Ovis aries: one gene and its partners. The protein of the gene in region 3 purifies or fractionates together with the protein of the main gene of each other region. This does not show direct contact. Links are inferred from orthologs where the notes say so. Each region holds a gene or a part of one and is shown on either strand. Other genes may lie near its edges.

Region 1 (3,655 bases), on a different chromosome or scaffold from region 3:
ATCACCATGGAGTCCACTATAACGACAATAAGACAGATAAAGATCCAAACCCATCCTGATCATGTGGGCACAACTGTTACAGAGGATCGGGATATCCCACCCGGAAATACGCCACTTTGGCAGAGAGATTATTCTGAGCTGCAGAAAAAGAAGAGACACAGAAAAGTTTCCTATCCTCCCCTGGTTCTCAATCACCAAAGACGACTCTAGACTCTTTCCACCTCAGAGATGACGCCAAGAGAAATGTATACGACAAACATTACTAAAACAACCCTTATGTTCCATCAATTTCCCCCATAATGTTTACCTTCACACAGTAGCTAAGCCTAAAAGCCTGAATCCCTTTCCCTCTATCTTGACACTCGTCTACAAATGTACCGTCCTTCATTGAGATGCTGCATAAGCCCACGTTCTAACCCCTCCTTTGAGTGACCTATCACTGAGTTTTTCCTATGTGTGTGCATGCTGCAGGTGTTAATAAATTGTTTTTCTTCTGATAATCTGTCTTTCGTCAGTTTAACTTCCAGGGCCCTACCCAAAGGAACCTAAGAAGGTAAAGGAAAACATTTTTCTTTATTCACCTACACTCATCACTGTGGGAATATGGATGGGAAATGGGGAAAATAGCTAATGCCCATATGTCCAGAAAAACTATAATTCAAAAAGATCCATGCACCCCCATGTTCATAGCAGCACTATTCACAATAGCCAAAACATGGAAACAGCCTGAATGTCCATTGACAGATGAGTGGATAAAGAAGATGTTTAGATATAAGCAATGGAATACTACTCAGTCATAAAAAAGAACAAAATAATGCCATTTTCAGCAACATGGATGCAACTAGCAATTATCATACTAAGTAAACACCATATGGTATCACTTACATGAAATCTAAAATATGACACCAATGAACCTATCTATGACACAGAAACAGAACCATGGAAATAAAGAACAAATGGTGGTTGCCAATGGGAATGGAGTTGGGGAAGAGATGGCCCTCCTCCTGGTTGCAGTCAGTAGATATAAGCTTTTATAGATGAATGGATAAACAAGATCCTACTGTATAACACAGAGAACTATATTTAATATCTTATGATAAACCATAATGGAACAGGTAAAAATGTGACAAGGAAGCCTGGCATGCTGCGGTCTATGGGGTCACAAAGAGTCAGACACAACTTAGCCACTGAACAGCAATGTATGTATAACTGAATCATCTTGCTGTACAGCAGTAATTAACACAATACTGCAAATCAACTATACTTCAATTTAAAAGAGAGAGTTAATGCCCAAAAGCAGGAACATATAATTACTTAAAGAAAGAAATACTGTTTAGGTAAGACAATCTGTTAGGTAAGATTAGGTACTGTTAGGTACTGTTAGGTAGGATTAAAACAATCTTAATCAATGCCAGTTTAAGGAGCCTGTAGTTTCCTAAAGGTTACCTAGCAGAATCAGAAAGCTGGGAAGTTTAACAAAGTTAGTAACTAGGATGTGTATCGTTCAAACTGTGAGCACTGAATGTTGTTAAAACAAGCTTTATAATGAGCTTGATAAATAATAGAGGAAGTGGCTACACTGTGGATTGATTGGGTCATCAATATAAACTCACAAGAGGAATTTTTTTAAAACCTAACGTTACGTCATGATACTTGAGAATAATGATACTTGACTGATAGTATGGATTCAAAAGTTACTATATCTCAAACAACATAGATGGAAATGAAGATGGTATGGCTGAAAAACAGTATTGGAAGATCAAAAAGTGATTCTAGTAATAATGCAGACTCTGACATTAAATATGCATTGAAGGAATATGAGTAAAATTCCCTCATTAAATCCAAGAACAGGCAAACACCTGATATTTTACAGCTTTTAAAACAGGGACACTTAACTAAATATATAAAGTAAATATTATGAATATACTATTCATCTATATCTCTAAAGGTTTATATATTAAAATGGGACTATATTTCAGGTTGCCTTATATTTGAATAAATGGAAAAATTTATTTTTATAGAAGAAAACAGACATAACAAGAGTATTTATTTATATATTCATAATTTGCTCCATATAACTAAATATTCTGTTTGAGGTCAAACACTTAACAGACACAGGAGTGGGACTGAATGGGACTGGCGGAGATAGAAAGAACTAGTGTGAACAGCAACATACCAGGTGATTCTATGTCACCTCTTCCCTCATGATTCACATAATTCCAAAACATTTGTTCTCTGGTAGACTGCCCAGAGTCCAGTACCAAGGGTAATCCTCAAGGGTTCCTTAAATACATAAATATAGCATCTCGCATAGCAGAGAGACCCATAATGAAATGAAAAGGGGAGGAAGGTAGAAGGGAGGCAAGGACAACACCCAGCTATATCTGCCCTGTGAGGGAACAAACAAAGGCCACTTTGCACACCACTGCAGGGAAGTTGCTGACCTCACTGAGGAGGGTACCGTACTGTTCCGAACACACCGCTACGTACTCCATACAGAAAACTTTCTCTTCATTTGCTTGGAAGTTAATTTGGGTCAGGAAATAAACAAAAATAAAACATTAAAAACATCCCTACCAAAAGATTCCAGTTGGTGGCCAGCTAACCTTAATTTCATTTTTAAAAATAAGTTTACTGGTGATTTAATAGCAAGAGCAAACCTAGTAAATACAATGTTTTCCTGCCAAGTTGTCCACAGGCAGTATCACAAATGTAAAGATAATTTTCTAGAGTTCAGTGACTTCCTATTTAGTATTACATATAAAACAGAGGACAGTGTGGGTAGGCAAGACAGAAATAACAAATCTTTTAATCAATTTTGCCTTGATTTTTCTTGACAAACACATTATGTGAGAAATACAGAGCTATATCTCCCTGAGGGAATTTTTTTTTTTAATCACAAATGATGAAAGAACTCTTCCTTGAAATGGGTATCAGGAGGAAAACATCACTAAAAAGGCAAGGTTAAAACAACAACAACAAAAACCACATCATAACAGCAAAGCAACTGTAGCTTATTGACTCCAACTAGAAGTTATACAATAAAGAAATGATGAGCTTTTACTTAAAACCAACACATTGTATGGTACATATTTTGGGAAAAAAATGTTCAGTGATGAAAATATCCATTAAATTGTGTTTGTGTGTTTAAAAGTTACATGATTGATGCACAGAGATGGGGAGGGGAGGAGTCAGGAAGGATACGGAAAATGCATTCTAATCCCTTACCATTTCGTCCGGGTTACAGCCGCACTGTTGCATGTCCTGAGGATACATGCTCATCACGCGTCCCACTTCTTGAGGCTCGGGCAGTTCACGATCCGGGAACCACTGTGTACCAAAGTGAACCTCCTTCATGGACGGAACAGGAGCAGCTTCTTGAATGTGTGATGAGGGATACGACTCCAGGGACTGAAGTTGGTCTTGATAGAGCTCATATTCTTCATCAACAAGCATTTCTCTTTCTTCACCCATCTCCTGCAGCCTAGGGACCATGAATTCATGCATTTCCCAGGTCTCCTTGCTATTGTCTATCTCTTTTTGTTGGGACTGGAAAGCCTTTCCCAAATTTAGAAACGGTTCATCCACAAGCTCTTCTTTAAAATAGGGCTCATCTCTAAATCCCTGTGAATAAAAATTGCAAAACAAAACGAAA
Region 2 (3,655 bases), on a different chromosome or scaffold from region 3:
GCAGACTCTTACCCGTCTGAGCTACCAGGGAAGACCTAAGGCCCAGGCAAGGGCTGGACAAATCCCACCCTACCCCTACCCCCTGTCCCAGGTACCAGGCCTGCAGTGTCCAACCTGCTTTCCATCTCCTGATGCCTGTGGCCGCCGGTGAGCAGGCCCTCGTTGAAGCTGCTGCTGGGCGAGGGCTGGGGCGAGTGCCGGATGAGAGTGGTGTCGCGCTGGGCGGCAGCCGTGGCGGCCGCATCCATGGCGAACTGCCTCATGGCACGTTCCTCCAAGTACTTCTGTTCCCACTTGGTCATGTCAGCTTCCAGCGCCAGCACCTGTTCCTCCTTCTCCCGCAACTGCTCCGACAGCCGCAGCGCACTGAGCTCCGGGGTCCCACCACTGCCACCGCCACCTCCGGGGGGGCCTGCCTGTCTCTGCAGAGAGAGGGGTACCGTGGTCAGGGGTGGAGGGTGGGGTGTGTTGGCTGCAGGTCCTCACGGCCACGTGAGGAACCTGAGGCCAGTGCTTGGTCAGCTGGCACCACGCACTCTGCCCAGCCTCCTTCCAGCTGGAGACAGAGGGGAGCCACAGGGCCCCACAGCCTTGCCCCAGAGCCTGTGGCCAAAGGTGCAGAGGAGATTGGGTTTGCTTTTGCATAGTGACCATATACACTGTCCTCCAAACTGGGGAAGGGGTGACTTAATGACATGGGAAAACTGGTGTAAACAGGACAGACCCCGGCAATCCAGGAGCTCTGGTCACCCTGCCTCTGTGGGAAGGGTGAGGCTAGGAGTGGAGACAGGACTCTATCTGGTCTATAAACACGAGAGCGATTTACACAGTCCAAAGTGAGGATAAAGGCCCAGGATCTGGGTGACTATCTTCCCCACCTCCGATCTTGGGGAGACATATAAGAGCTGGCTAGTCCCCACTCCAGCACTCTTGCCTGGAAAATCCCATGGACAGAGGAGCCTGATAGGCTGCAGTCCACGGGGTCGCTAAGAGTTGGACACAACTGAGCGACCTCACTTTCATGCATTGGAGAAGGAAATGGCAACCCACTCCAGTGTTCTTGCCTGGAGAATCCCAGGGACGGGGGAGCCTGGTGGGCTGCCGTCTATGGGGTCGCACAGAGTTGAACACAACTGAAGTGACGCAGCAGCAGCAGCAGTCCCCTCCATCACAGCTCCTGAGAGACTTTCTCCAGAGACCAAGGGTGCCAATCCCAGCTGCTGCTGAGGATAGAGGCCCAAGGCTCGAGTCCCTGAGGTCGGCACACGGTCAAGGGGCAAGGCTTCTGCTGAGACTGATGGGCCAGGAGGGGACTTCCGTAAGGTTGGCCCAGGTGGTCCTAACTTTCCAAGAGGGCTCGGCCTGGATCTCAACAGGGGCTCCTGGGGTCTTCCCAGCTCACCTGCTGTGCACGAAGGGCCTTGAGTTCCTGCTCCAGGCGCGTCCGCAGACGTAGCTCCAGCTGCTCACGCTTCTCGCAGGCAGCCTGCAGCTGCCCCAGGGCCTGCTGTAGCCGCTCCACCTTCTCCACGTAGGCCTGCTTTCTCCGTAGCTCCTCCTCAGCTCTTGCCGCCCGACCCTGTGCGTTGCTCAGGGCCTGCTCCAGCAGCTCGGCCCGCCGCCGCTGGTCCTCAATGGCTCCGCGCAGCAGTGCCATCTCCCGCTCTAGCTGCTCCTGCTCCTGCTGCTGCTCATAGCCTGCAGCGAGAGAGGGAGGGGCCCGGTCAGGGGCGGCAGCTCCCTCGCTGCCCCACAGAGCACCCACAGGTGCCATGCTCTGTGCTGACCGCTGCTCAAGCTTGACTGCATCTTCTCAGTAACACAGGAGTTAGGTACCCTTATTAACCCCATTGTATGGGCCAGGAAACTGAAGTTTAGGTTAAGGCCTGAGCAAATGGGAATGTCAGACCAGGACCCTTGCAGTGATAACTGGGCCACACTGCTTCTCTGCTGGGACGTGGCCTTGCCAGGAGAGAGCGAGAGACACTGTCCACCTGTGCTGGGTGTCACACCTCCAAAACACATTCACAACTTCCCTCCAGCCTCATGGTGATACCAGAGACTGGGCAGGCAGGAACCGCGATGCCCATCTCCAGATGAGAAAACGGAGGCTCAGGTGGACTGTCACGTGGTCATCATCCAAGTGGGAGAAGCACCGTGTGCTGCCCCAGGAGTCAGGCATCTACACATCTTATTCCCCTGAAGCCTCCAATGACAGTCTGGGATCTGGGATCCCTACCTTCAAGAGGAAGAATCATAGGAGGTGAATGGTGCTACCAGGTGGGGATCAAAGTTAGCCTGCCTCTGAAGAACCAGGCTGCTTGGGTATGGCGTGAGGCCCTCGTACTCAAGAGGCCTCAGAGCTTATTCTGTGAAACCAGGCACCCCACCCCACCCCTAGTGTGCAGGCTGCCTGCCCTGCTGGAAGGCAGAGGGGGACCTGTCATGGGGCCTGCCTGATGGACCCAAAGGCACCATCTCTAGAGCAGCACTGTCACAGCAGAGTGGAATTTTCTGCTGTAATGGACTTGCTCTACGCTGTGCCAAGCAGGGCAGCAGCCACTAGGCACATGTGGCCAGTGAGCACTTGCAATAGTGCCAGGGAGGAATCAAATTTTTCATTTTATTTCATTTTAATTAATTTTAATCTTTGGGCCACGTGTGGCTAAATACCTATCAGATAGGACAGTATAGACTCTGGAACAGAAGAGAATTACACAAGGCCCTGGGGCAGAGAAAGAGGACACAGGCCACCCAGGTCAGCTCTGGTTCACTCTGAATTTTTGAAGGCTGGGCCCAGGCCCACCTCATTCTTTGGGGTGAAGGGAAAAGTTGGCGAAACTCAGTAACACTGGGCCTCTCATCCTGAGCTGGCCTGACACCTGAATTGGGTGGAGGGGGCAGGCAGGAGTGCTGACTGGGACTTTGGGCCCAGAGACAATGGCCCTGTCCTGGGAGGCTTCACAGAGATGGACAGCTTATAGAGTTAGCCGGAGGCTGGCAGCTCATCCCAGTCTTAGATGGTCCCATCTTACAGCCTCAGAATCTGAGGTTCGGGTGAGAAGAAACTGCCCAAAGGGGACTCGGCTTGGGAGAACCAGGCCTCAGGACTCATGGCCAGATGCCCAGGGTGGGCAGGGCCTGACCAGAGCTGGGAGTCTGTACTGCTTGCCTACTAGGAAAACAGACAGCACTGGCGATCGGGGCCACAGTCTCCTACTAGCGCTAACTCTGGAAAACAGGTGAGCTCAACCACAGACATTTTCCCTGAGGATTCTTGCTTCTGGATGTCAGGAGCAAGGAAGGGTAGTTTGGCTTTCCTCAGCCCTTGGGGACGGTACCAAGGGCCCAGCCTTTGGCTTCCAGAAGGTTCCTGCTGCCTTGCACATCTCTAATACCCTGGTGGCTTCCCTGGTGGTTCGGACAGTAAAGAATCAGCCTAAAATGCAGGAGACTCAGGTTTGATCCCTGGGTCAGGAAGGTGCCCTGGAGAAGGGAATGGCAACCCACTCCATTATTCTTGCCTGGGAAATCCCATGGACAGAGGAGCCTGGCTGGCTACAGTCTATGGGATCGCAAATAGTCGTAAGCGACTGAGCAACTAACACTTTGAAGGCCCTGGTAGAGCTCGGAGGCTTGAGACCTTGGCCATCCC
Region 3 (2,912 bases):
ACCAAAGTGGCACCATTTTTTAAAAAAGTAAAGTAGTTCTGATGACTAAACCAGTCTTCTAACCAAATACTGTTGTCTTGCCCAGTGCACAGCACAGTTCCCCCTCACTCCCAAATTCTCATGAAATCATTTAAATTAACTGTTAAATAACATCAATATTTACTGCAGTGTGAAATACGGACCATTGTGTATATATACACGTTTTTGTGGAAATATGACTAGGCAGGAAAGATTTGGTTAGATGAAAACAGAATTAAAAGGCTTTTACCATGGATAAACTAGAACGGCTCTGTTGAAAACTTCCATTTAAAATCCCCATCTGAGGCAAGAACCTCTAAAGCCAGATACAGAGAGAATAAAGACTGCTGTTAACAAATTGCTTAAGGGGATTTTCTTCTCACTAATTCAAGATCTAAGAACATGTCTACAGTTTACACTGCCTGCCACCTTCTCAGAGACGTGCTCAAGTATCAGGGCTATCTTCCTATGGGCAGTCTGCCAGGTCAAGTCCAGTCCTGCTACAGAACGAATGCTTTTTTTCACCTCAGCCAAGTGGATGGCACCCACTGAGGTTCAGTGTCAAGTTTGTTAATCAACCTAAGCAGTTCCTGATAGGCTTTATCAAGATCTGAGTTCACAATTGCTGTGTCAAAGTAGTGGCCATTGTTCTGCTCCATCTCTCTAGTCTTCTCAATGATTTCTCTCAACTCTTCAGGCTGCAAAGAAAAGATGAAAAACTATGAGGTAAACCATCCCAAACTTCACAATGAGTCAGAGATGGGTGAAAAACAAGAAATGGCCTTAACATACTGCTTTCCTTCCGTCTCTCAAAATACTCAACTTCAGAGCTCCTCCCGAACCCTGTCATGTCCACAGAGATTCCCTTTGCTTTGGCCTCTTCAGCACACTCACTGCAAATCATTTGTGACTCAGTATAACGTATATAACCTATTTATGGGCTTCCCTTGTGGCTCAGCTGGTTAAGAATCTGCCTGCAATGTGGGAGACTGGGTTTGATCCCTGGGTTGGGAAGATCCCCTCGAGAAGGGAAAAGCTGCCCACTCCAGTATTCTGGCCTGGAGAATGCCATGGACTATGTGGTAGTCCATGCAGTGGTGAAGAGTCAGACACAACTGAGTGACTTTCACTTTCTTTTCATAGCCTGTTTATACTGCTCTGTAGGTTTTATGTGTTTCTGTCTTATCCACAAGAGGCTTCAAGAGCACAGACTATTAACTCTGAATTCTCTACAGACGCTCATTTTCAAACATTTTAGGTCATCATAACCTCCTCCTAAAACGTCTTCTGTAACAGAGTGAACTTTTCTGGCAGGACCCTAAATACCACCTATTCTGGCTCTTACAAAGAGCCTCTGCCTTTTCTATTGTGGAGTTTAAAAGAGTAAAACCATGAGAAAAGGATCAATAGAATGGGTATCTTTTTTTTTATGAAAACAGGCTGGAAAACCAAGATTTTAATAAGTATGTTTTTTTCGGAAATAGTTTAAAACTTTAAGTTGATAGACAATTTCAATACACCAAGGAGGTCTTTAAGATACAAAAACAAGTATCCTAAGAGTTTGGGAAGCCAAATAGAAGCAGGCTACTTTAATATGTAAAGGAAGCAAATGTTTTCACAGATAAGCAGATGGCAAGGTTATATGCAAAACTTATCCAGAACCCCTGATGATCAAGCACAGGTGTCCAAGAAAGTGAAACTGCCTCCAAAGCACCCCGTCAATGAAGAGAACTAATTAAATGTCCAATGTCTCAGCCACAGAGGCCATACATACAAAATATACTGGACCCACAGTATCAAGCAATTTATACCATTCAACCAGTCAAACTTTTATAACAGTAGGAAAACATACTAAAAATATGATAGCTCTGGCTTGTCCTGAGTTGGTTTCTTGTGTGGCTCTCTCTAATTTTCATTCTGGAATGTTGTGCAGCTGGCTCTGGCACACAGAATCCTTTGTTTCCCAGCAGGAAGCTACTACACCATTGTAACTGAACACACTGTGATGTTCTGGTCACAACTTATGTTTACCCAAAGCTCAAGGTTACTGAAAGAACATTCTAGAACTCAAAAGAGAATCTAAACTTTGTGTTACTAGATTTGAAATGTAAATGTTATTAAGCTGCACATCTTACATAGATTCACATGAGTATCTAATCCTAAATTTTTCCTTATCAAACAAGTATTATTTTATCTTTTGCCAAAAATGACATATAATTTATTTGGTACTTTAATTCTTTTACAAGTCACAATGAAATTGAAACAAAATGATTTTGCTCAAAAATCTCTGGCCTGAAAAAATTATCTATAGGCAAAATTGACCATGATAATTCACACTATTAGTTTACCACTCTTAAGACCCCATTATAGCAAAACCAGATTCAGAATGTAACAAGATAACTGATTATTTAAGTTGTGCATTCAGTGACGAACACCATTACTCTCTTAGCTAACACTATTTCACAGAGTTAAAATTTAGGATCAGTTTTTACTTAACACTTCTACTGTGTGATAAGCATTATTAATTACCAAAGGAGATAAAACATAAAAAGCAATCAGATACATCACCCTTTACCCAACAGCTGCAAAATATACACTCTTACTGGTGTGCAGGAACATGTGCCAAGACAGAACAGATACTGGGTCATAAAATAAGGCTCAACAAAATTTGAAAGACTGACATCTTATAGAATATGTTCTCTTACCACGATGGAATTATACAACAATAAAACATTCTAAAATCTCCAATAGAGAGAAATTAGATACTTCTAAATAACCCATGGATTAAAGAAAGAAAATGACAGAGGAAATTAGGAAATATTTCTAACAAAATGATACTGAAAAACATATAACTTATTAGAAGAGAAGGTTTAAAAATCATGTTTTCTTCAGAA

The links. The genes of interacting proteins can lie anywhere in the genome.
Region 1: the proteins of PALS1 (region 3) and PATJ purify together in Homo sapiens (co-immunoprecipitation; 5 studies listed by BioGRID and IntAct, counting the BioPlex papers as one, with this or other methods). This does not show direct contact. The link is inferred for Ovis aries from reciprocal best matches to the Homo sapiens genes PALS1 and PATJ.
Region 2: the proteins of PALS1 (region 3) and AMOTL2 purify together in Homo sapiens (affinity purification with mass spectrometry; 3 studies listed by BioGRID and IntAct, counting the BioPlex papers as one, with this or other methods). This does not show direct contact. The link is inferred for Ovis aries from reciprocal best matches to the Homo sapiens genes PALS1 and AMOTL2.

Annotation. Positions count from the first base shown.
Region 1 is NC_056054.1:37,092,619-37,096,273, reverse strand, and holds part of PATJ (inaD-like protein), read right to left. Parts: intron 3,625-3,655; coding exon 3,229-3,624; intron 1-3,228.
Region 2 is NC_056054.1:255,615,099-255,618,753, reverse strand, and holds part of AMOTL2 (angiomotin-like protein 2), read right to left. Parts: intron 1,699-3,655; coding exon 1,403-1,698; intron 423-1,402; coding exon 115-422; intron 1-114. UniProt on the Homo sapiens protein: Regulates the translocation of phosphorylated SRC to peripheral cell-matrix adhesion sites. Required for proper architecture of actin filaments.
Region 3 is NC_056060.1:77,294,576-77,297,487, reverse strand, and holds part of PALS1 (protein PALS1), read right to left. Parts: intron 717-2,912; coding exon 540-716; 3' UTR 1-539. UniProt on the Homo sapiens protein: Plays a role in tight junction biogenesis and in the establishment of cell polarity in epithelial cells.